Linked DNA regions of Drosophila melanogaster. The protein of the gene in region 4 purifies or fractionates together with the protein of the main gene of each other region. This does not show direct contact. Each region holds a gene or a part of one and is shown on either strand. Other genes may lie near its edges. The genes, in order: Fmo-1, Idh3b, Pcyt2 and CG8888.

Evidence for each region.
Region 1: the proteins of CG8888 (region 4) and Fmo-1 purify together in Drosophila melanogaster (affinity purification with mass spectrometry, with the first as the bait; one large-scale study listed by BioGRID). This does not show direct contact.
Region 2: the proteins of CG8888 (region 4) and Idh3b purify together in Drosophila melanogaster (affinity purification with mass spectrometry, with the first as the bait; one large-scale study listed by BioGRID). This does not show direct contact.
Region 3: the proteins of CG8888 (region 4) and Pcyt2 purify together in Drosophila melanogaster (affinity purification with mass spectrometry, with the first as the bait; one large-scale study listed by BioGRID). This does not show direct contact.

Annotation. Positions count from the first base shown.
Region 1 is NT_033778.4:23,959,089-23,966,367, reverse strand, and holds Fmo-1 (Flavin-containing monooxygenase 1), read right to left. Parts: upstream 3,413-7,279; 5' UTR 3,309-3,412; coding exon 3,121-3,308; intron 3,062-3,120; coding exon 2,875-3,061; intron 2,823-2,874; coding exon 2,651-2,822; intron 2,594-2,650; coding exon 2,058-2,593; intron 1,994-2,057; coding exon 1,826-1,993; 3' UTR 1,727-1,825; downstream 1-1,726. Other genes in the region: Alas (aminolevulinate synthase), read right to left, coding at 1-96, 241-1,483; CG13566 (uncharacterized protein), read left to right, coding at 3,921-3,962, 4,029-4,222, 4,287-4,366, 4,421-4,713; alpha-Catr (alpha-catenin related), read right to left, coding at 5,032-5,148, 5,649-5,855, 5,909-6,229, 6,288-7,279.
Region 2 is NT_033777.3:22,014,091-22,022,454, forward strand, and holds Idh3b (isocitrate dehydrogenase 3b), read right to left. Parts: upstream 5,095-8,364; 5' UTR 4,944-5,094; coding exon 4,902-4,943; intron 4,738-4,901; coding exon 4,690-4,737; intron 4,627-4,689; coding exon 4,534-4,626; intron 4,007-4,533; coding exon 3,890-4,006; intron 3,833-3,889; coding exon 3,251-3,832; intron 3,129-3,250; coding exon 2,898-3,128; 3' UTR 2,301-2,897; downstream 1-2,300. Other genes in the region: Theg (testicular haploid expressed gene), read left to right, coding at 738-1,216, 1,290-1,389, 1,451-1,670, 1,737-1,999; mitofilin, read right to left, coding at 5,770-5,947, 6,014-6,302, 6,360-6,518, 6,612-6,632, 6,735-7,430, 7,494-7,642, 7,703-8,176, 8,310-8,364.
Region 3 is NT_037436.4:1,549,856-1,557,693, reverse strand, and holds Pcyt2 (phosphocholine cytidylyltransferase 2), read right to left. Parts: upstream 4,202-7,838; 5' UTR 3,798-4,201; coding exon 3,684-3,797; intron 3,617-3,683; coding exon 3,293-3,616; intron 3,234-3,292; coding exon 2,526-3,233; 3' UTR 2,379-2,525; downstream 1-2,378. Other genes in the region: CG12099 (uncharacterized protein), read left to right, coding at 1-1,422, 1,477-1,631, 1,691-2,125; Pcyt1 (phosphocholine cytidylyltransferase 1), read right to left, coding at 5,068-5,829, 5,893-6,216, 6,406-6,900.
Region 4 is NT_033778.4:12,074,482-12,082,670, forward strand, and holds the start of CG8888 (uncharacterized protein), read right to left. Parts: upstream 5,063-8,189; 5' UTR 4,838-5,062; coding exon 4,814-4,837; intron 2,818-4,813; coding exon 2,572-2,817; intron 1-2,571. Other genes in the region: CG13186 (uncharacterized protein), read left to right, coding at 6,837-7,268.

The DNA.
Region 1 (7,279 bases), about 12 Mb from region 4:
ATTGTTCGATCAGCACGTTTGAGATTTGACTGCTCTTCAGAGGGTCTCCGATCTTAATGGGAATGATGTGGCTGGGCGTTTCTTCGACGGGGAAACCTGAAATGGGGCCAATTATATATGCAGTCAGTAAACTGAAAGTTAAGTGTCTCTTTCTATATTTATAGCCATCACTTAAAATAAAACGAAAGTGCGAGAATAACCTTCAATTCGAGTTACATAAATGCCAGAATTACGTCTTACCTTCTCGCTTCAGCAGGCTCTTCAGGTAGGAGACGTTCCGTTGGTGCAAGTGGCGCAGCTGGCGACCCTCCTCCGATGCCAGGATATTGACGGCCTCCAGGGCGCCACACAGTACAGTCGGCGGTAGTGAGGTGGTGAAGATGAAACCGGCCGCATACGACCGAATCATGTCGACCAGGTTATGGGTGCCAGCTATGTAGCCACCAATATTACCGAACGCCTTGCCCAGGGTGCCCGATATGATGTCCATTTTGTGCAGCACACCATCCCGCTCACCGACCCCGGCCCCGTGGTCACCGTACAATCCCACGGCGTGCACCTCGTCGATGAACGTGATGGCCCCGTGCTCGTGGGCCACGTCAAGCAGCTCCTCGAGCGGGCAGATGGCCCCCGTCATGGAATGTACCGTCTCGAATGCGACGATCTTGGGCACGCTTTTGTCCGTCTGCTTCAGCAGCTGATGCAAGTGGTCCACGTCGTTGTGCCGGAAGATGTGCTTGGGAACCCCGCTGTTCCGTATGCCCATAATCATGGAAGCGTGGTTCCCTGCGTCCGAGAAGATCTCGCACCCAGGTAAGAGCTTGGCGAGCGTAAAGAGAGTGGAATCGTTGGCCACGAAGCACGACGTGAACAGCAGCGCAGCCTCCTTCTGGTGGAGCTCAGCCAGCTTACTCTCGAGGCGCTCGTGGTGAAGAGAGTTACCCGAAATGTTCCTGGTGCCGCCAGCCCCCGATCCGTGCCTATTGAGCGCGTCCTGGACGGCCCTCTTGACGCCGGGGTGGGCGGACATTCCCAGGTAGTCATTGGAGCACCACACCGTAATGGGCTTTTCCGTCCGCTCCGAGTACTCCAGGGCGTGGGGGAAAAGCCCGTCGCCTGCCAGGCGGTTCACCTTCTTGAAGACCCTGTAGGAATGGTCCCGCTTCTTCTTCATGATCTGCTCGTTGAAGAAGCGCTCGTAGGGAAAGGTCTCCTTGGCGGATGCCTTGCCAGGATCGGCAGAGGCGGGGGCGGAGACGGGAGCGGTGGCGTTGGCAGTTGCGGGGCCACCAGCATTGGCGTGGGCGTTCGCCCCCGTCGAGTGAGACCTTGTAACACTTGCGGCGACGAGTGAAAGTTTCTTCTCGCCGGATACCAAGGTCTTCCCAACCACGGGACAGTGGCTCCCGTAGGATTGGCACAGCGTCTCCGCGTAGTTGCGGATGAAGCTGGCGGTGAAGCGGTTCAAGAACGGACACTGCATGACGAGGCGCTATTCCACTTTTGAAGACCCGACCTAAATCAGCGAACTTTGAAAGCGAAGTGAGGTGTTCCGAAAATTATGCAAGAAGGTGATTGCGAGGAGGCGGGCGAGTGTGGCCAGAGCTGGTGAATGTGCGCTGCCCGCAATCAGCTGTTTGGAAAAATACCAACAAACATGTTCAAACAAATGTTTGCCGGTGTTCAAAAAGTTTTTGTTCGAGAATAAAAGCTCATTTTTTAAACTGTTGTTTTGGAATACAAGAATTGGAAATTTATTTTATTTCGAAGGGAAGTCCAAAAACGATGTTTTGGAATCTAATGCTCCTATTGATTGATTCAGGATCTAGTTGAGTTTAATGAATGTCTCGTCGTCCAGAATCGCGAAATTGTCCTCCCGGAAGTGGAGCAAATTCTCATTGAAGCACTTGCTGCTTTCGTTGTGCAATTTGGTCATCACAGGCTTGATGTTCTTAACTCCTGCAGTTTGCGACAAGTCCGTGAAATAGTCGATCTTGATAATAAATGAGAATAGAATTAATAACCAGATAGAGAAGTAAAGCCAACTTGCATCGCACTTGCTTGGGACCCAGCATGTGGGCATGGCGTTTTCTTAGTCCCTCCGCCCACAGTTTGCCCATCCTATCGCGGGTGTCCTTGAGCATATCCTCCGTGGACGGCAACTCGTTGGATCCGTTGTAGTAGCTCATGATGAACCTCGCTTGGATGTCCATCATTTGGGCGGCACAAACGTAAAACGGCAGTCCGATCAGAGCCATGGATGGGTTCCTGATGTTGATGCACTGCTTGTACAGCTCCTGGACGTAGTTGTCCTCCACATAGATGCCCGAGTCGACGGTCAGGAAGGGAAAGGCGTACTTGTAACCTGTGCAAAAGAAGACGGTGTCGAACTCCTGGTACGATCCGTCCACGAAAAAGGCTCCCTTCTCATCGAGCTCCCGCACATCGGGTTTCTGCTGTACGTTCTCGAAGAATGAGTGTTGCCCGATATCGGTCAAGTGGTGACTTATGGTGACCCGATCCGCCGTTCGGGAAATGATGTTCGACAGGTCCATGCCACTGGGACCAGCTCCAATGACCAGAACGGATTTACCTTGAGCAGAATGGAACACCATGTGAAATAACCTAATAGAAGTTATTCCTTAATTACCTTCGAAAACCTCCCTACTTCTGAAGTCGTGGCTGTGCAGGAACTGCCCTTTAAACCTTTCCATATTCGGAATTTGGCTATAATTCGGAGTGTGGTAGTGGCCATTGGCCACCAAGACCTTGTCGAAGTACTGGAACTCTATCTTGTTGGTGACCAAGTCTTTGAAAAGTACCTGCAAACGTTTCAGTTAAGTGGTTATATATAAAGCTGACTCCACGACTTACTTGCCACTTTGTTTTCCTCTGCAAAACTCGAATCACATAGCTATCGAACTTGATGTGCTTCTTCAGGTCGAAATGGTTCGCGTATTGGTTAAGGAAGTCGCAGATCTCGTCGGATCTCACATAGGAAGCCTCGTTTGCCCCGATTTCGAAGTCCGGGAAGCCCATTACCTCCTTGGGCAGGTTGGTTCTTTGAAGAGGCCCGGAAACTCTTAGAATATCAAATGGTTTTTCGAAAGATTTACGTACCGTAGGTTCTTGTACATGCTGCTGTGGACATCGATGCCATTGACCGCCCCTGTTGCCTCATTGTAAACCCAGGTGCCGCCGATTCGGTCAGATAGCTCGAACACAGTGGTCTCGAACCCATTTGCAATCGAATGGCGGGCACAGCAAAGACCCGCGGTTCCGGCCCCAATTATGCAAACGCTCATCATATTACAGTATTGGTTACAGCTTATATTAATTTTAATTGCTAGCTGCGATCCTAAGTGAGATAGGCCGGGATTGCTTTCTACACGCCGATTGCCTCCACGAAACTGAGGATCGCACCGTGATGAGCTCTTTGGCTTCCCCGCCTGATAGCCCTGCAAAAGTTGGGTACTTGGACTTCATTGAGAGGTTCGCTGAGGCCTTTAAGTAGTAAAATTATGCAAGTCTAATGAGAGTATCTTGCATTCGCAATCCGTATGAATCGCTGTGCTTGTTTTTTGTAATCGCGCTGATAAGAAAGAGCATAAAGCCTCTGCTTTTGTCTCGCCTTTTGTTTATGGGGCATATAAACATATATATTTATTATATTAATATTTACACTGCCGATAGGAAGCATAGGCGGCACAGCAATTGCCCACAGATGCTCAGATGTGCTCGATTCGTTGAGCAGTTCAAGGTTTTGGGCTATTATGGACTATGGGCCATGAGGCCAACTTCTTTGAGTTCGTCTTTTCCCACGCTAAACTGCGAAATTGAATGTGAGAAAATTTGCATGGGTCAGGCGGATTCGGAACGTACGTGCCGCAGTAGCAAAGTGCACGTCAAGATCGTCTAACATGGGGCTACCAGCTTGCATCTGCACCAAAGTTCTCCAACTGGCGAGTATCTTCGAGTTAGAAGGAGACTTTGAGTTACCTTGAATGATAGAGATACATCCCCATTAGATTGCCACGGTGGCGGCCCTGATTGTAAAGCGATTGTCGGACAAGCACTCGGAACGGGTGTTCGCCATCAACAAGAAGCAGTCCAGGGAGTGGACCCTCCTCAACAGCATCTCCTGGTCGAAGGAGGGCGATGACTTCGGCACGCTGACCTTCGTGGGCTATACCTTCATTGCAGCTGTGCTGCTGCTCACGAGGTAACTAACCACCCAGTGACTATGACATATATATATATGATATGCTAAGACCATCTCCTCTTAGGATCATCGAGGGCACCTCAAACTATGGCACCTGTGAGATAATTCTGTTGACCTGTGGCGTTCTGTTCTTCACCATAGAGGGTAATATGGCTCCTGGGATGCAGTAATGTCAGAGTGATGAACTCTCTCCTCCAGGACTACTGATATTCTTCACGGTGGAGCAGCTGTCCGAAGATCTGCTGATATTTGCCTATGCATTGGGAGCACTTTGCTTCATCTGCGCCGCTCTGTTCGCCCTGGACCTGATGTTCTTCAAGAACCTGCTGAAGCTGAGGGACTCCACCGTCCAAACAGACCAGTCGAAGGAAACAGTGGCCCTCAAGGTGTACAATCTTTCGCAGGAACCGAAGATGAGCTGCTGCAACATGATGCCCCGCACTCACATCGTGAACGAAAGCAGCAGGAACTATCTACGCACCGACTTGTAGACCCAAGTGAAAGAGCTCGAGATACATATGTATCTGCATCTGCGTTACCTTTATTGCCGTAACATCGAATGTAGTGAAACAAAATATGCATTATAAGATCGTGCTGCTGAAACAACTAATTGGACTCGTATGTTAATAAAGTTTTCGACATTAATCAACGCTAGAAGCGGCCGCCAACTAATACGCGTACACAAAACGGAATGCAGTGCCAACAGTGTAGACTACGATAGCAAAACCCCCGGGCTCCTCTCAGAACAGCAGGAAGGACACCCTCGTCCTTCGCGCATCCCCCTTGGCTCGGCGAGCCATCCCGTAATGTCAGGGAATGTCGCTGCTGCTCGTCGTCCCCTTGGAATCGCACATGCCGCCGGCCATGTTCTCGTTCGACCGCTCCGAGGTGAGTCCTCCGGTTATGCCAGTTAAATTTAGTTTGTACTGCAAGGCGGAGCAAGGGGATTAGGATTAGGATGGAGTTCGTAGAGGAGCTGGCACTGCAGCTTATGAGTGGCCAAAACCAATTGTTGGTTAAAGGTCACAGTTGGGTTAGATAAACACACGATGGGGGATCTTATCAAGCTATCAACTCAACTCAACTCAAAACTCAATACATCAAGATACATATGTACATACATGCGTGAAATACAAAAGTTAGCGATTAAGATTAAGATACAGCGCCATCTACATTAGCAAAGTCGAAAGTAAGAGATGTAACTAATAAGATTGAGAGTTTAGAAACGGGGATTGAAGCACATCCTCAAAAACCAAAAGGCTTCTCCTGCGCCCCTGGCAACAAACGAAAGCTCTAAAATCATACCTGTAATAATGCATGCTTTAATATCACAGTAAACTATAGAAATCATACACATTGAGAAAGTCTGTAGTATCATCCACTACATATAGGAAATGGCCGCGTGGGCCTGCCTCGGCCTATTTACCTTAGTTGCGCACTCAAAGCACTTCGACACTACTTTGTTTATAACGTTCATAAGGTTCTTGGTTTCCCTGATGACGTGATCGACCTTCACGAAGGTGGCGGCTTTACCAACCGTGTGGTCTTTGACTGTAAACTGGAGTGCTTGGACAAAAGTCGGCACTCTATCTAAAATGTTGAGGAGATCCTTTTTGTTGTCACTGGCGGGAACCTAAACAAGCGCAGAGTTAGCGACACGGATGCCCATTATCAACCGATAATTACCTGGTATGAAAAGTGGCGGAGGACTTTGTAAAGTCGATTGGCCTCCTCCGCAAAATATTCGGCTTGAGTAAACAAATCCTGAGTTGTTCTTAGAGAACCGTTGCCCTTGGTAAACTGATACATTAGGAAAGCCATCGCGGACATGTTCTTGGCTCTCTTCAGTATGTCGTTGTCGTCCGACAAGTCTTCGCTCCATTTTGATTGATATGTGTTCAGATCTCCGTTGTTCTTGCCTTCGAGGCCAGAATACTCAACCATTTCTCCGTCTTCTGTTGCAGGTACACCGGATTTTGTTAGTTTGTCTGAGGAGCTTTCGCATTTCTGGGGAAGATCGGAAGTAAGTTAGTGATTACCTCGCCCACTCTGGGCAGCAACCCACCTCAGCATCAGCATCTCTGTCACCCTTGGTGGTGTTGATCGAGACGAGGATCTTCTTGGCGATCATGGAGATCTCGTTCGTCAGCCACTTCCACATGTCCGAGAAGGACTCGAAGTTCTCGTTGGCCGCACTGCTGTTGGAGTACTTCCACAGGATTTTGGCCGCGATGAAGACCTGCGGCCCGTAGATCCGCAGGTTGATCGCCAGGCACTTGGCCTGCACCTGCAGCCGCTCCGTGGGCGCAATGTGCTGCAGCAGCTTGCAGATGTCGAAGATGTGATCGCAGCAGTCGTGGAACTTCGAGGAGCGCTGGTTCAGATTGTCGATGTCGTAGTTCGTTGCCAGTACGTGGAACGACTTGACCAGCTTGGAGCAGATCTTGAGCGACTCGTTGAAATCCTCGATCTGGCTGGACACGGAGACGACCAACTGCTTGCACAGCTCCTCCAGGCTGCTCAGCATACCCAGTTCGGGATCTGACCGACCCTTCACCTGGCCTCCGCCCACTCCTCCAACTCCACCGGCTCCACCGCCACCCTCGTGCTGATCCTTCATGATGGTGTTCAGGTAGAGGTCGAACTCCAGCTTGCAGTTGTCGCAGTAGGAGAGGATGTTCTTCCGATGGTTGTGGCTGATGTAGGGGGAGTCGGTGAAGTCGTGTGCCTTCTCGAACAGCTTCTCGAAGGCGAGCGAGAGCTCCTCGCGCAGGTCCAGGCTCTCGGAGCTGAGGTGCTTCCTGAAGTTCGTGTTGTTCACCATGCGGCCGCCGCCCGCCGCGGAGGGCAGGTTCTTCTCCGACTTCCACAGGTCATCGTCCAGGAAACTGAAGTAGGCGTCGGAGTTGTTGTTGCCCTCGCCAGAGCCCTCGTAGTAGCTCATCTGGTACTTGTACCGCTTGATGAGGTTCACAATGCGCTTTATTGTCGTGTAGATGCTCTCGTTCTCGTAGTTCGGGTTGCTCGCCTGCTTCTCGAACGGCATGTGCTTGGCCG
Region 2 (8,364 bases), on a different chromosome or scaffold from region 4:
TTATGTACATTTTGTTCGCAAGACAAACGAATAAAAAAAAAACGATCAACAAATTTGAAGCCAATAATAATGAACAAATAAGAACATGTGCTGAACTGCTGAATTCCAATTGAATTGCAACCAGAGTAAGGAGATACATTACATTAACCGAAGCAAAAACATTGTAAAAAAGCATAAAAACCAACCGAAATCAGTTGAGAAGAACGTCAAGGAAACGGGCAAAAATTGCTTAAGAAATGGATGAGATTTGTGTATATGTGAACAGAATGAGCAAAAATAGAGGGTATACGTTAGCTGTCGGAGAGCAAACTAAAAAAATTAACAACTTGCCGATGGGACAGTCGGAAAACAAGGCCCAAAAACAAAACTATTAACTTGTAATGATGTGAACTTGGAGCATACTCTCAGTATTTTTATGAATACTGTCAATAAAACATTAATTAAAGATTAACAACGTCTTTTCATTGCCATCGGGGTTAAGTGGATAAAGCTTAATTTTGAAATTAAAATTCCAGCTTAGGTAAGTATTAAAAAATCTTGTCTAATAGCGAAAAATGTATGCATTTCATTTGCTGTCAAATTCCAAAATTTCTGTACTTAGTTGCCACAAAAAATTCTCCAGATGAAGTTAGCTTTCAACTCGTTCAGATAATCGTAGATGTTTTTTATCATAAGCGAATAAAAAAGTTAGCATTAATTGGTTTAAAGTAGTGCGTCAAAATTCGGAAATCCACAGAATGACCATCCAAGGACTGAAGTGTGACCTCAGCCCGACGGTGACCACTTGTCTGCAGCTGAAGGACTGCGTCCGTCCGGACTGCTGTCCCATCCGGGACCCCATTCCCTACGATGCCGAGTGCTTCGTTAGGGACATTGGCCAGGAGCTGGACAAACTGACGCGCCGACACGAGCGCATGTTCGTCAAGCGGCGGCGTCTGATGGAAATGGCCATACCCAGGCGACGCACCTGCCGCTTTGTGCCGAAATGCGCCTGCTCATTTCCCAAGTCCATCGAGATGGTGCGACCATGTGACGCCCAGAATCACACACGCACCGAGCAACTAGCTCTGCCCACGGTCCGTCGATTGCTTCACAGGCGGCGAACGGCCATTCTGGCGGGCGACTCAATTGGGGAGTCCATACTGAACAGATGGCTTCGCTACAGCTATCTATCGCTGTACAGTCGTCTCACGAATATCCAGCCGTTGGTTAAGCCGTAAGATAATATATCTATCTATCTTATGTTCATTCATTATTATTTATAAACCCATTATCCTTTGTGCTTGCAGGAAGAAAAAGAAGAAGAAGACGGAGAAGCAGCTGGCTAAGCACGAGAAGTACATCGAAAAGTTGGCGAAACCAAAGAAAGCACCAAAGGTCCCGAAACCGGTAAGTTAAAAAAAAAACTAAATTCAGCTAAAAACTGATGATAATCCCCCATTTCATTTAGGATCGTGGAGCTGGGGAGTTCGATCCCGTGCGTCTCAATCAGCTGGCCAGTCCCAAGGCCTATTTGGAGGAGATCAAACCCAAGTGGGAGCTGACCTCCCAGATGAAGGACTACAAGGCGACCAAGCGGATCAAGCAAATATCGCAGCCCGTCGTGCGCGATAATGTCCACATCAACGAGAATCCGGAGAAGGTCTCGCCCAATGCCCTTCGCTACAAGCGTAAGTACACATACTCCAATTTAGTTGATCTTTTAATAATGCAGCACCTGGCATTGCTTCACTTAGCGAGTGCCCGCATCAAGGAGATGTCCGAGCCACTTACCACGCGCGATGCCAACCAAGGACTGGCGGATGTCAAGGAGAATCCATTCGGTATCGCGCCAAACGCGCTCAAATACAAGGCGAGCACGCGGATCAAGGAGCTGGCGGAGCCCAAGGAGTTCGAGAACACGCATATCCGGGAGAATCCGTTTGCCATATCGCCGGCGGCTCTGAAGGCCAAAGCCTCGCCACGCCTCATCGAGTTGGCCAAGCCCAAGGGTGGATAATAATTGGAGACGGACGTGGACTGTGCGTCTGGATAATCATTACCGTCCTTATTGGTGTTCTAAGTTTTTCATTTCGGCTACATTTGGTATCGACTTTTCTAATAAATTTGTTTTTGGTTTTTTAAAAAACAACTAGAGCTTTTCCGGCTCTTTACGGGATTGGATTTCCTGTGAAAGTGGCGCCGGAGTTGGGAATAGCGATGAAATCTCCTTTGGCCTTTCATTCCAGTCAAAAAAAAGTTTGAGAAATATGTTTGGGTTTTTTTTTTTATCTTTTGTTTGTATTACTTAAAATTTAGACAGCTCGGAACTGACAATGGCTTTTAAATAATAATTAATTTAGATTTGAGTTTATTGTTATCTTTCTCACAGCTCCAGTGGAGTGGGTCCACTCAAAGCCATCCGTTATCAGTTAATTGGTTTAGCAATATCATTTGTTTTCGGTTTTTTTTTTTGTTTTGCTTTTCAACGGGTTAAACATAAAATATAATTCGACCGTAAATTAGCATCTTTGCGAAATCAAAAAGGGGGGGGGGGGGAAATAATACGTAAATAATTACAACATAATCAAGGATCGATGTATTACTGCCAATTGGTAAAACTAAAGAATTCGCAACTTTTGGATTCGGGGCGGGTCTGCAGGCGTTTCAATTGGACTAAACTTAAATATTCGCCGGAAATAATACTCAAATGAATGCACTGAAGACATCGGGACAAATAAAAAAAATTGGACGTAATAGGATAACTAAGAACTTTCAAGGTGTTTCTTTCAACAATTCAAAATTTAGCTGTGGCAACAACAGAAACTGTCTAATGTCGATTATATAAGCGCCAACGTTGTTGCCCATGATGTTGTAGACTTGCTGATCGCGATGCCGGCGATGACAGTGGTGCCCATCTAGGACATGTTCAGGATGATGGCGCGGGTAAAGTCCTGCGTGGTCGATTGTCCGCCCAGATCCTTAGTACGCACCTTGCCATCGTTCAGCACCTTGTTGATGGCATTCTGGATGATCTCGCCGTAGGTGGGCAGGTTGATGTGGCGCAACAGCTTCACGCCGCAGAGCAGCATGGCAGTGGGATTAGCCACGTTCTTGCCCACGGCCTCGGCGAAGGTGTGACGTGCACCCTGCAATCGGAAATCGGTATTAGAGATAAGAATAGTCTGAAGTGGATTCGCACAGCTAGGCTCGAGAACCGTGTAAATCACGATCTTATGGATTATCTTTATGTCTTTATGGCGAATCTTACCGGCTCAAAGACGACGGATTCCGAGGAGTAGGAGGCACCAGCAACGACACCAGCACCGCCCACGAGACCACTGGCCAGATTGTCCACAATGGCACCATAGAGATTGGGGGTGACCATCACGTCGAACTGGTTGGGATTGGAAACCATCTGCATGGTCGTGTTGTCCACGATCATCTTCTCAAACTGGATGCGCGGATAGAGCCGGGAAACCTCTTCGCAGGAGCGTAGGAAGAGACCGTCGCCCAACTTCATGATATTCGCCTTGTGCACGGCGGTGACCTTCTTGCGCTGATTCTTCGTCGCATAGTCGAAGGCGAACTTGGCAATGCGCATGGACTTTTTGGCGGTGATAATCTTCAGGCACTCCACAATGCCGGGCACCGACTCGTGCTCCAACGCCGAATACTCGCCCTCCGTCTGCTCGCGAATAATCACCGTGTCGATGTTGGTGTGGCGGGTCTTGACACCGGGCAAGCTGCGCACATGCACCACATTGGCGTAGAGGTCCAGGTCGTTGCGAAGCTTCATGTTAAGGGTCTGCAGGTCACCCACATTGCTGTAGTCGGGTGTGGCCAAAACGCCCTGAAGGAGCACATTGTTTAGATTTTATCACACTATTTTATTTTCTTGCAAACTTACCTTAATGCACACTTTGTTTTTCTGAATGGATGCCACCACATCCTCCAGTTTGGCACTAAGCACGGGATTGATTTCGGAAAGGAAGTAGCACTCGAAGTCCACGGGAACGCTGGCTGCCTGAACGACAAGATAAGATAATTATGCATATTGATTGGGCTTGAAAAGTTAAAGAATTTACATAGCATTTTTTAATTTAGTCGCACGTATGAACATGTATGTTCAGTTAAAACGGAAATCCCGAAATCTACTAAAATTTTCAAGTAGCAGCCACTTATCACATATCTTTACGATACAGATAAGTTTGATGTTTTGATTTATATAATAAAAACACTCGTGATCGGGAAAAATGGAAGTGTTATCAAATACAATGCGCTCTGTGAAGAGTGAAATATATTAATTAATTTTTAGAGCCCTGTGCTTTTTAAATCTAATAGATTCTAGAAATATGTACATAACTAACTAAACGCCGACTTGCTTAAAAAAAGCTTTTCTATTAAATAGGAAACCAAGCTGGCAATGATCCTAAGCTTAAATAACCTTTTTTTTAAGAGAGATCAAGAGACGCAAGAGTATAGATTTATAAGAATTAGGACGCATTGGAATACTGTATGTGAATGATTGCAACTTGATGGATGGTTAGCTACCTTGAAGACCTCCTGGAGGGAGTAGACCAGCTCGGGACCCACACCGTCGCCGGGAATCAGTGTGCAGGTGGTCCTGTTGGCGCCGTAGTTATCCTGCAAGACCAATTATTTTCCGGTTACAACTGGTGCCACTTAATAAGCGCATTTAACACTCACCGTAGCCCGTAGCGTCGACGTGGTGTGCAGACTACGTGCTGCCGCAGCCTAAAACGAGAAGAATGCAATGTAATCGTTAAGGCTGGCTAGGATTATAACCTCAAAAAAAAAAAAAAGAAACGTATAAGAACTAGGCCTCAGCGCAGAAATATTCGCACAGCGCGTCGCGAGCAAGTGTTTATGTAAGAGCTGCGGTTTGGATGGCCGTTTACCTGCATGAACGTCCGTCCAACTGTTCTCGCCAGCATCGACATTTTGCTATTCGGTTAGCTAGATCTTCCCGGCTGTTGATCCAAACTCAAAAGTGTGTCCTTTGGCCACGCGAAATTTTTGATTGCGATGTGATTTTTGCTCCGGTGCCAAACCGAAAAATTTCAATAGGACCAAATCGACCACGCAAACCAGCTGATTGCCTCTGACTACCAGGGCTGGCGATAGCCGCCCACGAAACTGGCGCGTCCAGTGCTGGCTAACGACCAACTATCGCGATTTTGGCGTTCGAAAATTAGTAACGAACATATACGATTATTTAAGGAATAAATTTGGCGGCAACCGCATAGTAACCTGTTTTTGAATACATTTGCCTTGCCTACCATGCTTTCTTTTCAGAACAGAGAAATTAAATTTAGCCAATGCATTTTATTTGAATTTTGACATTCAGCATACTTTTTAGTCAACTTATTTATTATATTAATTTTTTTCGCTAAATTAAACAACAAGTGGATGTTCTTTATGTTTATTTATGGCCTAATCACATTGTTCTTCAGAAACACAAAGCTTGCCAATTTCAGCTTTAGTAATATATCATATTCCATTCATGCCTTGGTATCGAATTTTTTACAAATCTTCCCAGAGTATTTATGTTTTGGATTTTATAATGATGGTTTCTATGTTTAATTTGTATAATTGAAGCTAAACAAAATGTTACAAATATATGTATATAAGTGCTATTTCGTTTCAACTGTGATCGCTAATTGGACAAATTACATATTGTTGGTAATCGTACCATCTTCTCCTGGACTAATAACAAATAGTAAGTGTATCATCTTGTTTCTGAAGGAAGGGGACACGGGACGTAGTCTACAAATACAATAGTCCGCTGGCAGCGGCGTGAGCCATCAAGGTGTTGGCCGCCTGCTGAGTCTCCAGCATGAGGCGAGCCTCCTTCATCCACTCGCCGGCAATCTTGCGCGATGCACCCTGCAGCAGATTCATGTACTTGAGCGCCTGCAGAAAGTCGCTGCGATCCACATGGTACCTGTGAAACATAATATATATAATATATATTATATAACTCTAGTGATAGATGAATCAATCGCCTCACCTGGCCCTGTTTAGGATATCGTAGGTGTCCAGTTTGCTATAGTCGAAGGGTTTGTTCTCGAGTTCGTCCTTGGATATGGGATTATCGGGTCGCAAGATGAACAGCGATTGCAGATAGGACAGGAAGTAGATGGGCAGGCCGGCTCCTTCCTCGGGCACCAAAGCCAATCGTCGCGCCACGCGCTCCACATTCAGGAAACGCTCGCGCAATGCATCTTCTGGATAGACACCGCGCTCCTGAGCCTCCTTCGGGACGCTTTCCAGCACAGCGGCCACCAGGTCGTCACCCTCTGTAAGCATATGCATTTAGCAACTGAAATCGAAATGTGGGAAACGTTTCAACTTACTAGCCACCTTGGCAATGGCATTGATCTCGTTCTTTAACGGGCGCAACCTATCCTTATAGTGCACGCCAGGAGTGGCAGCGCGCACGGAGGCCCACAGAGCTTGGCAGGCGGCCCAAAGGGCCTGCGCCTGATTGGCAGTACGCTCTGCATCCGCACGCTCTGCAAAAATGTTGCATATAATGTCAATAAACATTTTGATTAAACCAAGAATAAGTTGGTATAAGTACTACCCTTCATATAGGGTGAATATACCTTGAAACTCATCCTCTATCTCTAATATAGCAGCATGTTTTGAAAAGGTTTGAAAACCATTATATATCTAGCCACGCTACACTAGCTACATTCAACCGATATCGTTTAAAACGTATAACTTACCTGCCAGAGCCGCGTCCATTCCGCGCAGCTTGCCGAGCATCCCGGCCAATTGTAACTTATAGTTGGCCTTTTCGGTCGCCAGCTTATCCTCAAGTTCACGCTTAAAGCTTCGCGTCAGATCGGTCTCCCGCTGCGCCACGATGTCCTTTATATGATCGGCGTGGGCCTCTGCTTGCTTTTTGAGCTGCAAGCGCAGCAGCTTATCAGACTCGGCGTGGATGTGGAAGATTTTCTTTTGATTTTCCACGGCCAGTTTGCGCCGCTCGGCCTCCAAATGGTATTCCAGTTGGGCGCGCAAAGCCTCCGAATCGTTGTCACCGCGAACCGAGTCAATAGCTCTCTTCAGGCGCAGCTCACCATCGGTTTGCAAGCGCTGCAGCTCCTTCTGGTAGGCCAGGACATGGGTGTAGGCGTGCAGGATGAACAAGTCTAGGTCCTCCTTTGACAGATTAAGTTTCTTATCCGCCAAACTGAGGCCGGGGAAGATAGACTCGATCTCGTCAATGAAGTAGTTTCGCGCCTTCTCCACATTCCGCCAGTACTTGTCTGACACGCTGGCCGTGTCCTTGTGCCGGTAAAGCTCGTCCTTTACGTTGCCAATGTGGTCCACAAGCTTCTTGATCTTGTCGCGCACTGCCTCTACTTTCTTTGCGTTTTGGGCCGTTGCCGCAGCACTCAGGGCGATCTCGCAGGCGACTGCAGTTGATAGAAGGGAATGTTACTGAAATTTGGAATCTATTTAACAAACAATGGACTTACCAATCTTCTCCTGAGCCTCACGGGCAGCTCGCTCTGCCGTAGCCACTGCCGTATCACGGGCACTTGCTCGATTTTTCAGCGTGGTCCAAAGAGAGTTCTCTCCATTCTCTACGGCCTTGTCTACAACCTTACGGACATCGTCATTAAAGCTGAACGATATTTGATTAAATTTAAAATCACGCAACGAATAGTTAACGAGAATTGCTCACCCTTTCAAAACGCCAATAGCGACGTTGTACTCCTTGACGGCCAGTTGAGCAGACAGCTCGATGGCTTTCTCCAGCTCAACAACATCGCGGGGCAGCGGATTATCCTTAGGCTTGGCAGCGGGCGCAGGCGCTGCTGCTGCTGCTGGCTTCGACACTGGCTTCGCTTCAGTCTTGCTGACTTCGCTTGGTTTTGAGGGTCTCTTTTCCTCAGCAGGAGTGGCCTTCACGGGCTCCACTTTGGACTTCTTGGACTTGTCATCGCCGCTGCCGCCGCCAAACAGGCCCGTCACCTTAGATGTAACGGAGTCCACCGTGGACGTCACTGTCTCGATGCCAGACTTGACCTTATCGATCTGATCGTTGACGTTCTTGGTGATGCCCTTGAATGGCGGTTCCTCCTGCAGAGCCACCTTGATGACGGATCCTGCGCCGGGTACATTCTTCTCCACCAATTTGCGGAAGTCGTCGTCGTATCTGGAAAAGGATTTCTACATTATTCGATGGTTCATTTAAGCATTTCAGGTGCAATAAAATGTGTACGAATTTTTGTTGATCTACAGGTGGACTGCCTATCCTTATCTTAAACCTCTATTGTGGCTCTATTTACTTGGCGTAGGTGATGACACCGCCGACAGCTGCCAGTGGTGAGACGAAGAGGACCA
Region 3 (7,838 bases), on a different chromosome or scaffold from region 4:
AGCAGCGACACAGCCGTCGAAGGAATCAGGTTCCCACACCGCGCAACGATCAGCAACAACAGCCACAGCAGCCAGCAAAGCTACGTCCCAATGTGGACAAGCGTCCGAAGGCTCGCGGGTTTGGAGGCGGTTACGATTTCCCTTCACCCCGTGGCCAGGACGGGGCTTCAGGCAGCTCCCGACTAGCCTACTCCGCCACCGGCTACTCACGTAGCGGTGACTTTGACCATGAACTGAACTCTGTGTATACACAGGGCAGCAAGAAGCAGAATCTGAACCATCTGCTTAACTTCCACTGCGTGCCCAGGGAACTGGAGCGAGGACATCACCATCAGGCCCAACAGCACCACGGCCTGAGTGGCCGAAAGCAGCGCTACAACAAGGAGCAGTTCCTGCAGGCCAACTTTCAGTTCGTCATTAGATCGGGTGCAAAGGCTCAGGTTAATGGCTCGCCGGATGCACTCATCGATTGGAGCTACATCGAGCAGATCAACATACAGACCACTGAGGAGTTGCAGTGCCCCATCTGCCTGTACCCGCCTGTGGCTGCCAAGCTCACCAGATGCGGACACGCCTACTGTTGGCCCTGCTTGCTGCACTACCTCTCGCTGAGCGACAAGACCTGGCGCAAGTGTCCTATCTGCTATGACGCCATCCACGCGGGAGATCTGAAGAGCTGCACCATCGAACAGCTGAGGGATTTGCAAGTGGGCGAGAAGATTACCTTCCAGTTGATGCGGCGTCGCAAGGGCTCCATGTACATTGAAAATCATGTTGCAGGATTGGGCGAAACAATTGAACGTTTCCCCTTTGTGTCCGCTGGTGAAGAGGCTAAACGCTACTCAAAGTTTCTAATAGCCAAGCGGATGGATGTGGCCGCCATCATCGAGAGGGAGCGTAACGAACTGCTAGCCGAATCGGATGTCTCCTGTCCCGAGGATGTGTTCATCCAGCAAGCGCTGGTGATGCTTCAGGAGCGTGTTGAGAAGTTGGGTGTCGAGAAACCTGATCCGAAAGAGGATGAAGAGGAGACAGCACCTGTACTTTGCCTAGAAACCGAGACCAAGATTGATATTGAGAAGTCAGACGATGCCTCCATCTCGTCGGGAGAAGCATCCAGCAGCCTTAGCTACTCGAGCAACCATAATAAATACTATTATTTCTACCAGTCAAACGACGGACAGAATATTTACTTGCATCCCTTGAACGTGAAGATGCTTCAGGCTTGCTACGGCACCTTGGACTTGGGTCCGCTACTCATCGAAGCCCAAATCGTGCAGATGGAACAGCACTCTATGGATGAGGAGCATCGACGCAAGTTCACTTGTCTTGGCCACTTGCCTTTGACTTGTCAGTTTTCGGTTGTGGAAGTCGAATTGCAGCCGCCAGTGGTCACTGGAGGAATACTCAAGCTCTTTAAGGGTAAGTCCACTAGGTCCATGTACAGCATTATGCTTATATGTATTCCTTCCGCAGAGGACATTCTTCATCGTAAGAAGGAACGACAGCGTCGGGATCGCGAGGAGCGCAAGCGAGAGCAGCACATCAACGAGATAAATGACCGCCAGATGGGCAAACTTATTGCCAGTGCAGCTAACCTTGACCTAAGCTCCTCCCATGAGTTTCCCACTGTGAGCTAGCAATGCCTGCCATTAGTGTCAATTATTAATATGTGATATTTTATCTAAAGTGCGGCTTCGAGGAGGCTTTGCCCGCTCCCAGTGGCTCTGTGCCCATGAACATCAGCAACCAGGACCCCGGTTCCCGATACTCCAGTGTCACTCTGGGAAGTCCCAAGCAGGAGATGTGGCCCACTATTGGAAGTAATTCTCCTGGAGGTGGTGGCGCGCCATTGGATGTTCAAGTGGGCGCCTGGGGCCGTTCAGCTCCACCGCCGCCACGGGCTGTAATGGTCCCAAGAACCAGCGATGAGGACTTTGAGCAGCGATCTGTGGGCCACTGGGGTCTGGGAGAACTTTTAGTTGGAGCCTTGGACCAGAAAAAGCAAAAGGTAGGAGCAGCAAAATCCAATGGAGCAGCTCCAGCGGAATCGAAGAAGCAAAAGAAGGCCAAGGGCAAGAAGATGGTTCCCCTGTTCGCCACGGGCATGAACAGAGCTCCATGAAGAGCTAGATGATGATCGCTTATGAAGTTACAAGATTTATTGTATTTTTGTTTTTATGCGAATATTTCAACGTTATTTTAAATAACAAATGCGATTGTTCTATCATTGAAGAGGATTTGGAAAATCATTCAGCTAATCTATAATTTAACCCAACTTATATTCACAATACACATAAGATAACCAATAAAGGCAGCAAGTAAAATATCAAATAAACGCCTTTTTACTTTCTTGCCAAAAGAAATATTCATAATTTAACTGAAATTTATCGGAATGTATTTTAAGCGCATACTTTTTCTGGTAGCTCTTTTAAATATGTATAAAAGTGCCTACTGCGCTGTTCCATTAAACTTCAAACATATTTATTTATGTTTTAATTGATAGGAAGAGGCCAAATTCGTCTTTAGTCGCTGCGTCGCTCGTCTACGACATCCTTATGCTCTGGTTGCTCCGAGTAATTGAGGTTTGCTGAGGCATTCACCTTATCAGGGCGCTTTTGTTTTCGACTAAGGGATACGCAACTACCAGACCCGTAGTCTGGTGGCAGCTCCATGTACTCATCCTCAGAGTCTAAGTCGTCTGTTGCGTCTGGATCGTCACCGTTTACGGAGCCATTCGGACTGCCTGGTGGGCTGAGTGCCTGAATGATTCGGCCCTTGGACTCGTTCCAGAAGGTGTTAAGCCGCTCCCGGCCGAACAGGAGCAGGAAGGCATCGATGAACTCGCGCGACTTCTCCTCCCACTTGGTGATGATGTCAACCTTGACTTTGGTCAGCTCCCGCTTGCCTCGTGTCTTCAGCTCGTCCATCTTGTTCTGCAGACGGAATTTCTTCTCGGAGAGAAAGGAGACGTTGAGCTCCTTGGCTGAGTAGCCTCTGGCCAGGTTCCTGCGCACATATACATCGTAGTCCTTCACGATTCGGGCCACAATGTCCGACGTGGACACGCCCTCAGTGCGTTCCGTGGCCACAAACATTCCCTTCGCTTTGAGTGGAGCATATATGTCGTTGACTCCGCCAGCTCCATAGGGTATGTCATCGTGGGCCACAAAGTCGATTTTGTGCTCCTCGATAAACTCCTCATTTAGCGTCCACGGAGCATTCGGAACGATCTTGTGATGGATCGAAAAGTGTATAGAAACATTTCATTGGTTCAGTTTAACACACTTACCTCATCCACGTAGCGGCAGTGGCGCACCGCCTCGTAGCGCTCGAATCCATTCATAACCGTGCGTCCCTTCATCCTGAGGGTCAGCTCATCATTGCACACGCCGACGATGAGATAGACGTTGGGAAACACATTCTTGGCCTGCATGAGTTGGCGGGCATGGCCTTGGTGGAACAGATCATATATGCCATCTGCATAGACCCGCACCCTGCGCGTCGTCTTCCCAGCTCTGGCCATATGATAGGTGATCCTCTGTGTGTAGTCGCATCTCTCGAGCTCCAGCATGGCCTTGTCATCGTACGAGAAAGGAGCAGGCTGGCAAATGCTCTGGAGGCGTTTTGGGGTAGAGAGATTAGTATGTGGCAACTCCTGTTCCTCTAAGGAGTAGCCTTACAAAATCCTCAAAGTCCATAAAGAGCGGTAGCATCTTAAACTCCATCGGCGATGTCGGTGTGGCAGGAGCCGTCGACACTGGAGATTCGTCGTCCTCTTTCGGCATTCTGTCCATTGCTTATAAAAATATATGTACGAGTATACACAACTAAGTACAGCACTAGTGGTCCGCTCAAGGGGATTTCATCCGGACGACTGATTACATAAATTGAGACGGAACCGGCATAACCCTCTAGGTCTACTCTGTCGAGGATTGAGTCCGAGACTTTGAGCGAGAGATGTCCCCAACTGCGCACTAGCTGCGATCAGAATAAATTGGCGGCAACTGGTGGCGAATCAATACAATTGAGTCCAGCGGCTGGCGAGGCACACGACTTGGAGGCGGCTCTAGCAGTCTCAGGCCCAAGTCTCTGGCTCGGATTCATCGCTCATCTTCAATTGCCGCAAATTGCGGCGCAAGCAAATAGGAAGCAACGGGTCGGTCGCCTGACTTGGCACGGGTCCGCCGATTCGATCAGGCGATGGGTGCGCATCTATATATAAACCGCAGCGCCATTAAACAAATCAGTGAACCGCTTCAAGCCGGTGAATGGGCAGCTAATTGCGAGGGAATGGGTGTCCAATCAAGGCAAACGGTTTCATCATCATCGGTGGCGCGCGCTCAAGAATTCCAGCAGTGCCATGGATGGCTGCTGAATCGGATGCGCAATTGCTGGATAAACGTATGAGATAGCAAACTGATTCACAAGCCACTCGCTTTACTTCTATTTCCTTTCGATTCAATGTTTATTTTTCAAAAAATATTTAACAAAGCATTTGCAATAGTTCCGCTATTGCCAACTGTTACTAATTACTTGTTTTTGTTTTTTGCATTTTCCGAATGTATTTCGTAATTTGTTTGTTTGGATTTCTCTATATTGGTTGGTGTTCTGGTTGCGGTGTTGTTAACTTAGTTTAATGTTATGCGAAATAATTTAATATAAATATTTCTAGATATTTTCGGCACCTGAATCTGCCGCCACTGCCGATTGATTTCGTGCACAGTCCGTCGAGTGCCTAATACAAAAATGAGTCTTTTCCGCGTTGGTGGTTGCTTGTCCCACACACACACACACACAGCTAAATTAGCTACAGGATTCCCTCGATTCTCACAGATGGAGATGGGCAGGTGGAGTTGAGGCAGGAGGAGAACGAGTGCCAACTAAAACATTGGGATTACAATACCACTTAGGGCTAGAGTAAATATAAGTGTGTGTTCGTGGAGCCTGCGTGGCGATCCTGGGGCATCTATAGTGTGCCGTCGAACTAGTTGCAAGCAAGTCCATTTACAATAGCATTAAAGACATTAAGAGAAGAAGAAAAGATCGGGCTGCCCCGCAATAGAATCAATTGCTTCGACGCTCGTACTCCGCATCCGCATCCGCATCCTCGTCCCCATCCGCTTCCAAGTCGGGTGATTGGCTCTGCAGACTCTGGTAACTGCGGCGGGCCAGCGAGGAGCGCTTCTGCTTCGGCCTCTGTTTGCCGTTCAGCGATCCACTGCTGCCGCTGCCGCTGCCCCCGCTCAACTTCTCGGCCATCTCCAAGTACTCGTCAATAGTTTCGCTGTAGTCCTCGCCGCCCTCCGTGTCATCACCGTTCACTGATCCCGACGGGCTGCCCGGCGGACTGAGTGCCTGCAGCAGCTTGCCCTTCGACTCGTTCCACAAATGATTCAGGTTCTCACGTCCGAACAGCAGCAGGAAGGTGTCGATGAATTCGCGCGACTTCTCCTCCCACTTGGTGATGATGTCCACCTTCACCTTGCTCAGCTCGCGCTTGCCGCGCGACTTCAGCTCGTCCATCTTGTTCTGCAGCCGGAACTTCTTCTCGGACAGGAACGACACATTGAGTTCCTTGGCCGAATAGCCTCTGGCCAGATTACGACGCACATACAGATCGTAATCCTTGACGATCCGGGCTACGATGTCCGAGGTGGACACACCCTCAGTGCGCTCCGTGGCCACAAACATGCCGCGCGCCTTGAGAGGAGCATAGATGTCGTCCATGCCATCGGTTACATACGGAATGTCGTCGTGGGCCACAAAGTCGATTTTGTTGTCGGCGATGAATTCATCGGACAGAGTCCATGGCGCATTCTGGACGATCTGCAAGACAGAGTAAGATGCTATAGACTGAAAGATCTCTAATCAGTGCCGGGCAGAACATACCTCGTCCACATAGCGGCAGTGACGCACTCCCTCGTATCGCTCGAAGCCGTTCATCACGGTGCGTCCCTTCATGCGGTGGGTGAGCTCGTCGTTGCACACGCCCACAATTAAGTACACGTTGGGAAAGATGTTCTTGGCCTGCATTAGTTGGCGGGCGTGGCCCTGGTGGAAAAGATCGTAGATGCCATCGGCGTAGACCCTCACCCTGCGGGTCGTCTGTCCGGAGCGGGCCATCTGGTAGGTGATCCTTTGAGTGTAGTCACATCTATCCCGCTCCAGCATGGCCTCCTCGTCGTGAGAGTAGGGCGCCGGCTTGCAAATTGTCTGCAGGAAGAAAAGTTCCCGATTAGTTGGGCTATTCAACTGGACGATTGTGTCCTTGGTCTACACATTCTTTCTCGATCTTATCACACATCGTCGGAAATATACGACTCACGACTCGAACATCAATTTCAAACGATTTCAGCTACTACGATTTAGACTAACTTTGCATCCTAACTCTTGACTACTTACCGCAAAATCGGAGGCCCCGCTGAAGAATTGCTGCGAGGTGGATGCGGGCACCACCCGGTGATTCGGCGACGCCTGCTGCTGCGGGACGTACTTCCGCTTGACGCCGTTGAGGTAATCCGACTGTGGGGGCAGCAGGTCCTCGGCGGCTGCCGCTTCGCCGCCATCGTCGGCGTCGCTTTGTGAGATGGTGCGTGTGCTGTCCCGCAGTGTGGTGGCCGAGGTGGTGGGCTCGCTGGCTCCCTCGCCGACCACCAAGACACTCTCCAGCTGGCCGGGCCTGCTCTTGGACTTGCCGGGGCTGTTTGTGCGCTGATCCTGAACTTCCGATACCTTTGTGGCGCTGCTGGAGGCGGTGGACGAGGGCATGGCAATGGCTATCTCGTAGGTCCGCTTCCGGGTGGTCAGTGTGGAGCCGGGGGACGCGCTGCTGCTGGGCGTGGCCGGTGGCGATGTGCTATTAATTGTGCTTTTGGCGAGTATCGATGAGGTGGCCATCGCAGCGAATGTTTGGGAGCGGCAGTTTTAACGGCTTCGCGACGCGGTGACGGAGGAACAGAGATTCAATTGACTTTCAGCTGGAAGAGATCGAGAAACAGATTGGTTACCATCAATGCTCTACATTACTTTCCCATATTTTGTGTGTTACGTTTCGTTTACATCACATTTAGTCTTATGAAATTATAAAGTTTTTCTTTGAAACCGCATTTGGTTAGCTTTGCATTCTGTTTATATGTAGTTGCAAGCATCATTTATCAAATTTCTTCATTCGCTGGATTTTATTCAAATTTCCCTTTGCCAATTTTTCCACCACTCCAACTTGTAACTTTTAGCCAAAGGGTTAATAAGTTTTCTCAAAAAGGAATAACAATTTTACTTCAATGAACCAACACAAGTTGTATTCTTGTTTTGTTTAATCGACACATATGCACTTGTTTACCAAGCAATTTATAAATAAAATCCAATAAAGCAGTAAACAATTCGAAATAAACAAAGTTATTTTTGAACTACAATTTAATGCATTGGTGCATAAGCAAAAATATATTACACATTCGCGCAGCTAATGGAAAGATACTTTCTTGTGAAACCATTTTTATGTAATCAGATATTCCCTTTTCATTAACCCAAATATTTATGACTCGGGTGGCAGTAGTTCTGACTGTTTTGCGCTGACGACACGTGACACCTGACCCCGCGCCCCCAGCCACGCCCCTTTTCTTCGAAGTTGAGCCACGGCCAAATCGATTTCAGTTTTAATTGCCAAATGGCCGATTCAATTCGCCACGCGCATCGCACCAGAGAAATTCCGCAGAAAAAAAAAACGCAACTGAAACAGCGGGTAAACAACAACACGGCTCGGTGTCGGTAATAATAGACATACAGAGACACGTAGTACTCTCGATAGGAGCGGGATGATGAGCAAGTGAAGCGCTGGC
Region 4 (8,189 bases):
GCAGCACCATCCCAATCCCGCCCTGAATTCACATCCTCCGAATCCCAGCGAATTTGTGTGCGTGCGTGTAATTTAATTCGATGGTCGTGCCATAAAGATGAATTGCACAACGTGATGTGCAAGGACAAACAGGCGATGGCAGCCATATCGCCACACATCGAATGTGTCCAAGGGTCCAGGAATGCTTCCCAATAACTTTATCTACTGCGCACATGTAAATGTAAATGTTAATGCGAAACAAACGGCAGACAACAGAAATGGGGTTAATAGCTGAGGTCTGGCCAGGCCGAAAAGCTAATCAAAGGCAAGGATATTTCGTGTCCTTTCCTTCTTCTTGTTTCCGCCCCCTTACAAAAAAAGAGGAGCTCTGTTGCCGTGACTAAAAATAGATGGCGACTTTCATTCTGAAGGACGTTCACATTGTTGTTATGCAAATAATCCATCGAATGTCAGTGATATCAGCCATTTAGGACTTGTCTTACAATGATTCTTACAGTTAAGGACGAATTTTAAGCTTACAAATTCTGGGAAAAATGGAAAGATCAAACAATTGTTGAATTCGCGAAGGATTCAACAACGGGGATGGAGTTAAAAGTTGCCTTTTTGGGAAATGAGACAATCAGATGATTGTTCCAAGAAAGCTTTGTAATATGTATTGAATAAAACCATTTGTCAAATACGAAATACTGCAATCAACATAAAACAATATATAACTATTTTAAGAAACCTTTTTATAAATTCCAAAGAAAGCAGAAAGAGCTGCCAAGTACAAATCCCACGGAATAATCAACTAATTTTTTTATCGTTCATTTAATGGGTTTTTCCTATTTTCGAGGAAGTGCCTGGCATTGTCCTTGACAAATCCTTGGTGAAACAAGACAGCTGAGTCCTGCCCCCCAGTTGCCGTGTCCCCGTTTTGTGGGTTTGCATCTGCTACCGTTGCTGTTAATTATCCTGCCGTCGTGCTTATTACCTTAATGTCGGGTTGCGCATCGCGTTGAGTGCAGCACAAGCAGCCTGCAATTGCCAGGACAATGCCATCCTGGCACCTGCAGCCCTGTCCACCGTCCGTCCGATACGGATACGCAGTGCCCAGGCACAGGACGATGGTTACGTGCCACGAATGTTGGACACGGTGCTCGGAACTCTTATCCACCTGTAATTGCCAGGCAGCAAATGGCCAGTGTCACTACTCCCATCTCGTTCCCAGCTCCAAAAGGAGGCTAATTAAAGTGCAGGCAAATTTGAATTATCTGCCAACTTCGTCGATGCCATTGGTGATGGTCATGGATGTGCAACGAGGCAAATGGTGCGAAATCGAGAGATAACCTTATTGGATTTGATGGCTTTGCGTATACGCATTGTGGTAATTTGCGCAGTTAATGCGAGGATATTAGGGCAAATAATCCTATGAGGGGGGGGGGGGCACACACACACATGACCTGAGGGGCATTTCGGTTGAGCTGCTTAGAAGTTTAATTGAGCAAGGCGCCAGCAAACAGGATGTTGAAATAGAGCCTCCAAGGCTTTTAATATTTAATATCGAATCATGGAAGTAACTGAAACTAGAGGAAGGCAATGACTCGGCATTTGGTGGATTAAGTTATGCACAAAGAATAGGTTGTAAAGCTGGAAATTATACGCCTGAATAATGGGATTGCGAGGAGCGTTCACTAAATGCCTAACTATCTTAAGTAATTGATAGTTTATTCTAATAAATATCTAAGTTAACTAAGGTGTTTTGTTTGTTAGTGGTTGAAGTATCTTTTGATGATTTTAACGACTGACTACTTTAAAGACGCCCTTTAACATAATTGACTGTCTGCCGCAGCCTTAAAGTCTAAGAAAGTTCGAAAGTAGATTGAAATGACTAACAATTTACTAGATAGCTCCTACTCGGAGCAATTTTCGGCTGGTCTCAAGTGAATCACGACTCCACATTTTTCCTACTTGCGAATTTATATTCATTACCAAACCCTTTTCTTTCAGCAAGTTGTGCTCGGGTTTGCCCACCAGGACTGCTCTGCTCTGCCTGCCTGCTTATTTATTTGTTTTCATTTTCATTTCCCGGCTGGCTGCCAGGCACAGTATAAGCCCTGAAATACCACACGCAGGCAAATCCGAAGCCAAATCCATAGTCAAGGGTTTCCTGTGCATCCTCCTGCTACATCTGCTCCACCAGCTCCTCCTTCCCCTTCGGCCTGGTTAAGCATAAGTTGACGACGTGCCTGCCGCAGGACCCTCTCCTTCCGCCGCCTTGTGTATATGGATTCTTTGCTGGCCCGACGACTATTTTTAGTGCCACTGATTTGTTTTGCCTAGTATTTGAGACCCTCCGTCGTCACTTGTGGTTTTGGCTTGGCACTTGTACCCGGCCAAAACGGAAGGGAAAAATAAAGACCGTTCCCGGCAGACAGAGCCCCTAACTTATGGACGCCCGTGGCGCTGAAACCGAAACCGAAAACCCCAAGTCCAATACCAATCCCAGGCCCAAGCCCAAGACACTCCGATCCCTTATGCGGTTTTCGCCAGAATTAAGGATTAGAAAGTCTGCCAAGCGGGATGACTTACCTTGACGAAGTGATAGAAGAGCACGGCTCCCACGGTGGCCAGAGCGAACCAGACGAACACGGCGAAGGTCGAGATGCTCGAGATGTCCAGGGCGTGGAGCAGGTGCGATGTGACAATGGCCGCCGCCTGGCAGAACAGGAAGGGCATGAATAGTCGCTCGAATATGTCCCAGGGAATCTCGTGCGACTTCTGCGGCAGTGCCGATATGGATCCTCGTCGCAAGGAGGCGCGTCGCGAGGCACGGCGCTAAAGGATAAAAGATATATAGATACATAGATAGATATTAATCACGGTGGTATATATGCCAATTTAATTATTCATTTCATTGCAGCGCATTTAGCATTTCAGTTTTCAGCTCTATAAATAGCCAGACAAAATAGCTGCGCCTTGTTTGTTTGGGAAATATTTAAACAATTGTGGCAGCTCTCGTTTGTTTGTGTTTTGATCAATAAATAAGGTGAATATGCAAATTATTGCACGCACTCATTGTTTTTATTTCCATAGCGGAAAATCAAAGATATCCGATTGGAAATATTCCCAGAATTGCATTGAGTGCTTTCTTCTGCTTGACAGGTGTCCTGAGTTTACCGGAATTGTCGGGGAAGCTGTGAAGTTTTATTTGGATTAGTCGGGAATTCGCTGGAAAACTCTGAGCGGCAATCTGTTGCCCGCCAATCGAGAAAAGCTGATGAAAATCTTTTGCCATTTGCAATCCATACAATTTATTGACTCAGGACTTCCGATTTGGTGCTCGTTGAAATCGATAATACTTCTGCTCAATGTTCGAATTCAATGGCTGATGAAATGGTCGAGCACATATTTGCCCAACAATATATCATCGGGCATTTCATTAAAGCTAACCAATTGCAGCCACAGGATCCGGAAACGACCACAAGCACTTACACCAACATATACATATGCTTGCATTTATCAGACGCTAACCCACACATTGACATTGACGTATAGCAATTACACATGACGTGCACAATACTCTCGAAAAAGTGTGGGAAAGCCACTGGAAAATCGGTCGGTTGTGTGTGTGGGAAAAATGGCTGGCAAGAGGGCACCCTTGGCAGCCCCTTTTGGCCATTGGCCATAAATCAACGACAGTGCGAAATAATCAAATGGTGGCATCTGCATAAATACAGAAGCCAATTGATTTATTCGGCCTGAAAATAAAGCAATTCCATTTCGGTTGCTTCGACTATTTTTCCTTCGCCGGATTTGTAAAATCGCCGGATCTATTTATACCTCCTAGTGCTGTCTGGAATATTAAAAGGAAATCGACCATGTCATTTCGGATTGCTTTCGTCATCCGGCGACCTTGCCACCAATTTTGGGACTTAGTTTGCCACAGATACGTGAGTATTATATGTGACTAATGCCGCCATTCTGTAAGTGGCCTACATATGGGCGACAATTTCGATCCGATCTATGTATGTACATATACATATATGCACTTGCTGCCGGTTCAGATATATCTATATTTATGTGTATTTATGTACGATTTATGTACTTAATGGGGTCGCTCAGCTGCCAAGAAATCGGTATATGTCTCCAAGCTTATTTTTATTATTAATAAAGATATGGATATTTATTTTTAGATGATGCGGCCGAATCAAATGGAATGGAAAGTTCTGGCATTGCAAAAATACTCGCACTGTATTTTCATGATGAAAATGTATTTGATGTGTATTTCGTTTGGAAAAAATCCAATCCCTTGTGGAATGTTCATAATCGTTTGCCTCAATGTCAAGACTTTTATTGTGCAAATCTGATTATAATGTAGTCATTATAACATTACTACATCCATTTAAGTTGCACTTAAAATCCCAGGCAGGCGGTAGAATTTTGACAAGTCTCTGGCGGAACACTTAAATTTTACATCTAGCATTTTGCATCTAGCATTTTGCATCTTTCAATTTCTAGTGGCTCGCACGTACGTTGACCCACTTGGATCGTGGCCATTAAGTGAATTTTTGTAATTAATTTGGCGGCCCGTTCTGAACACCGCATGACTTCCTGCCTTTCTGCTCCTTCGTTGCCGCCAAAGGATATCCTTTTCTTCTGCGGCCAAAATGGGCGTGGTTATGCCAGACTGGAGTTTGTGTATTGGCATTTCTGGGTTAAGCTAACTGGGCTAAGTGTGCCATAAGGTATACACAAACGTGGCGACAATAAATTTGGCCTGCGTAAACATGGCCACAAATGGCTTTTTTGCCGCAGGCTAGATTTCACTTACCATATTGTTATCGAAGACCTGCATGACGGATGCTGATGATGGTGTAGATGGTCGATGGTAATGTTCGGATTTTCACGCACTTTCCCAATGAAGTGGGCAATTCTCGTAGTCTTAGACTATAATATATCCGGTGCTAGAGTTTTAGATTTTTTTTTGTATTGTATATATTTTCAAGATCGATTTTCCGCAGCGGTACGGTTTGGGGGCCCGTGGCCTGGGCGCTCTGAGACACGGCGTGGCACTAAGCGGTACGATCGAGTGGCGCTGCCTGCAGCTGCCGAAAATTTTCGCTCGCCGATCGACGATCTCTGCCGCTGCCGCTGGCGACGTCGACGTCGACGTTCAAGTTCTGTTGTATTTCAAAATGATGCAAGCAGCAAATTGTCGTTTTGATTTTTTAAAAATATATCTGAAGTATGTGCAGACATGCGTATGTGGGATACATATACACACGCTGGCACGCCTATTCAGAATAATAAATATATTTAAATATTTGTTGCTCTTGGCGCTGCCCCACTGAAGCCGCAGCATCGATGATTATTTTTCCACAGCGGAAAAACAGCAGAAAAAAAACTCCGAGTGTGCAGATACATTTGTTGAAATATTCTTTTTGGCTCATTTGAATATTGCTTCAAAATGACCCTAGTTTTGAATACACAGTTTATGCGCATAATTAGTATGTGTGCAAACGCCAAAAGTTGCATTCTTAACCCCACAACGAATAGATTTCTGTTGTATGTTTCACTGTGACGTCATTGTCACTGTTGTTTACAATTGCGTTGTTGTTAATTTGCAAATTGCATTTTCATATACATTTTTGGTTTTTTATTTTTTTAAATTCCCAGCTCTTTGCTGCATTTTGTATGCTTTCATTTCGGTTTTATTTGTGGGCCGATGTTGGGAAAATTGGAAAATTGCATAAATAAACCATGACCCTCTGGGTCAGAGGGGGTTGGGGGGGATCAGGAAAATGCGGGCCACGTGTGGGCAGCTGAAGGTAAAAAATCATTCAGCTTCAGCCACGAGAAATGGAGAAATAAAATGCAATAAATGACCATTTGCAATCTCGCAATCCCGCAACCAATAAAATCAAGCAAATAAAAGAGTGTTGCAATCATGTTTACGCTCCAAAATAAGAATTTAAATGATTCCAATTAAAAATGCACAAATTATATAAGAAGACTATGTTTGCTCTTAAAATCAGTTCAATTAGATGTCCTTCAAACACTATTAAGAGACTTGAAAATAATAGGGTTTGCGATTTCATTCTTCATTTTTTTATGAAAACAATCCATTGATTTGGTATTGGTATCTTCTTCCAGCTTATGATAAATATCAGCGTATTTTGTGATAAACCTACATTCAATGGAATCCGTAAAGAATATCTGATAGTCGTCGAAATGCTCTCATCGTATAATTTACTTGCTTTAAATACTCGATTTTTATGTTTTCTCCCATTGTTTATGCATGTTTTTGTGTCCAACAATATATTATTGTTATGCATAGAATTTGTTGAGTAGCTTTTCTGCATGAATATAGACAGTGCCATAAATTGACGTCTATATTGGAGCTTTGCATATATACAAAACAAAAATCTATATATAATGAACAAAATTGTGGCTACCCAGCCAATGGAAGCATTTTCCCCTGCATCTATACAATATCGTTTTTTGTAATTTTTTCAAAGGCGGCTGCGTTGTCAGTCAATGTAGCCAAATTAACAAACGAACAGCGATTCTTTTCGTATGCGTGCCACCAAAAGTTGTTGACTCTTTCGGATTGTCATGCATTTTAAAAATAGGCGCAGCAAAAATATTCTGGACATCGTTGCGCACTTTGAAATGTACGAAAGAAGATTTATGGTTCACAGTACTTTTGTACCAGAGAATCATAAGTGAACCAAAAAGCAATCAATCAAAGCAATTATGAATTCTAGGATTGTCAACATTCGAAATAAAAATGGGTTTTGGTTATTAACAAAATCACTTCGAAATTGTGAAAGTAATCTAAAAAAAAAACCACAATGCCACCAAAGAAGCCGGCAAAAAAGAAAAAGGACGTGGACTGGTCCTCCGATGAGCATTTCTCCAAGGATCGTTCCATGATCTACATCGAGCACACGTACGAGTGTCCCATTTTCCAGACCAAGGCCGACGAGTGCGGAACATTCTTCACGCAACGGATACCGGAGCGCAAGTTCCAGCTGGTGAAGAATCGAAACGGACGCCAGGTTCCGCGGGAAGGAGCCTTCGAGATAGGGTTCTCGCAAAATGCACGCACCTCGGAGCATCTGCTGTGGTCCGGCTTGGAGAAGGGACCGCCGCGTCGGGATAAGTTCCCACTGGACTACGAGGCACTGGTGCCCGATGTGAACAGGATACTCAAGAAATTCTATCCCGACAAGGCGGTGGGCGTGGACGCTGACGACGGGGATGAGGAGAAAGAGGACATGTAAACATTTGCCGCACTTTGTTGTCTGAATTATTATAAAGTCTTTACCATAACAATGGCTAATACATGGCGTGAAAAGTAAACAATCAGCCAGAGACCTGTTGGAGCAACTTTAAGACGTCATCCACCCACGCGGACAAAATGCTCGGCGATTAGTGCGATTCTTCTTTGGCTTTTGTGTGTGTAATATTGCTGGTATTGTTGACTGACGTACTGACATCACACTTTGACAGCTCCTTTCAAAAGTTAAATGCTTAAATCGACCAGAATAATTAACCCAATACAATGCTGCCACATTAGCAGCCACACGATATATATGTGTATATATATATTATTATTACTGCACGGGGACATTAGCGACGCGTCCTATTGTCTGGCTGAGAAATCAGGGCAACTAAATCGGGACATGTGGTGTGTAGTTGGTAGTGGGTGCTACTATCTCGTTCACTTGGTGTTGACACAACAAATACCCCGAAATACATTTTCAATGTACACAATAGAGGACGAGTAATCCAAACAATTTAAATTGAAAGCTGAATTTGAAACAATAGACAAAGGGCACTCACATGCTAGCCGGCTTTTAAATGCTCTTAAAACTATAAAGTGAAAACTATACGAGCAAATCAATTTCCTATAAGCTTTTAGCTTGCATTTGCATACAATAAATGTGCAATCTATATGTTGCCTTCAAATCAGCATGACGCCCTAGTTGCTTTACATAAATAAAGTGCAAGAAATGGTATTTTCATTTGCTGTTCGCCTTTGGATTTTAATCCAAACCCTAGTCCTAGAGTAACATTTCCAAAAAGAGCAGCAGAAAACACATCCACATCCAAATCCATTGCGGATGTATTTGAAAATTGCAATGTGCCAGCAACACAATGGGCAGCTAGCTAGCTAGGAAAGTGGCTGGAAATAAATAAAT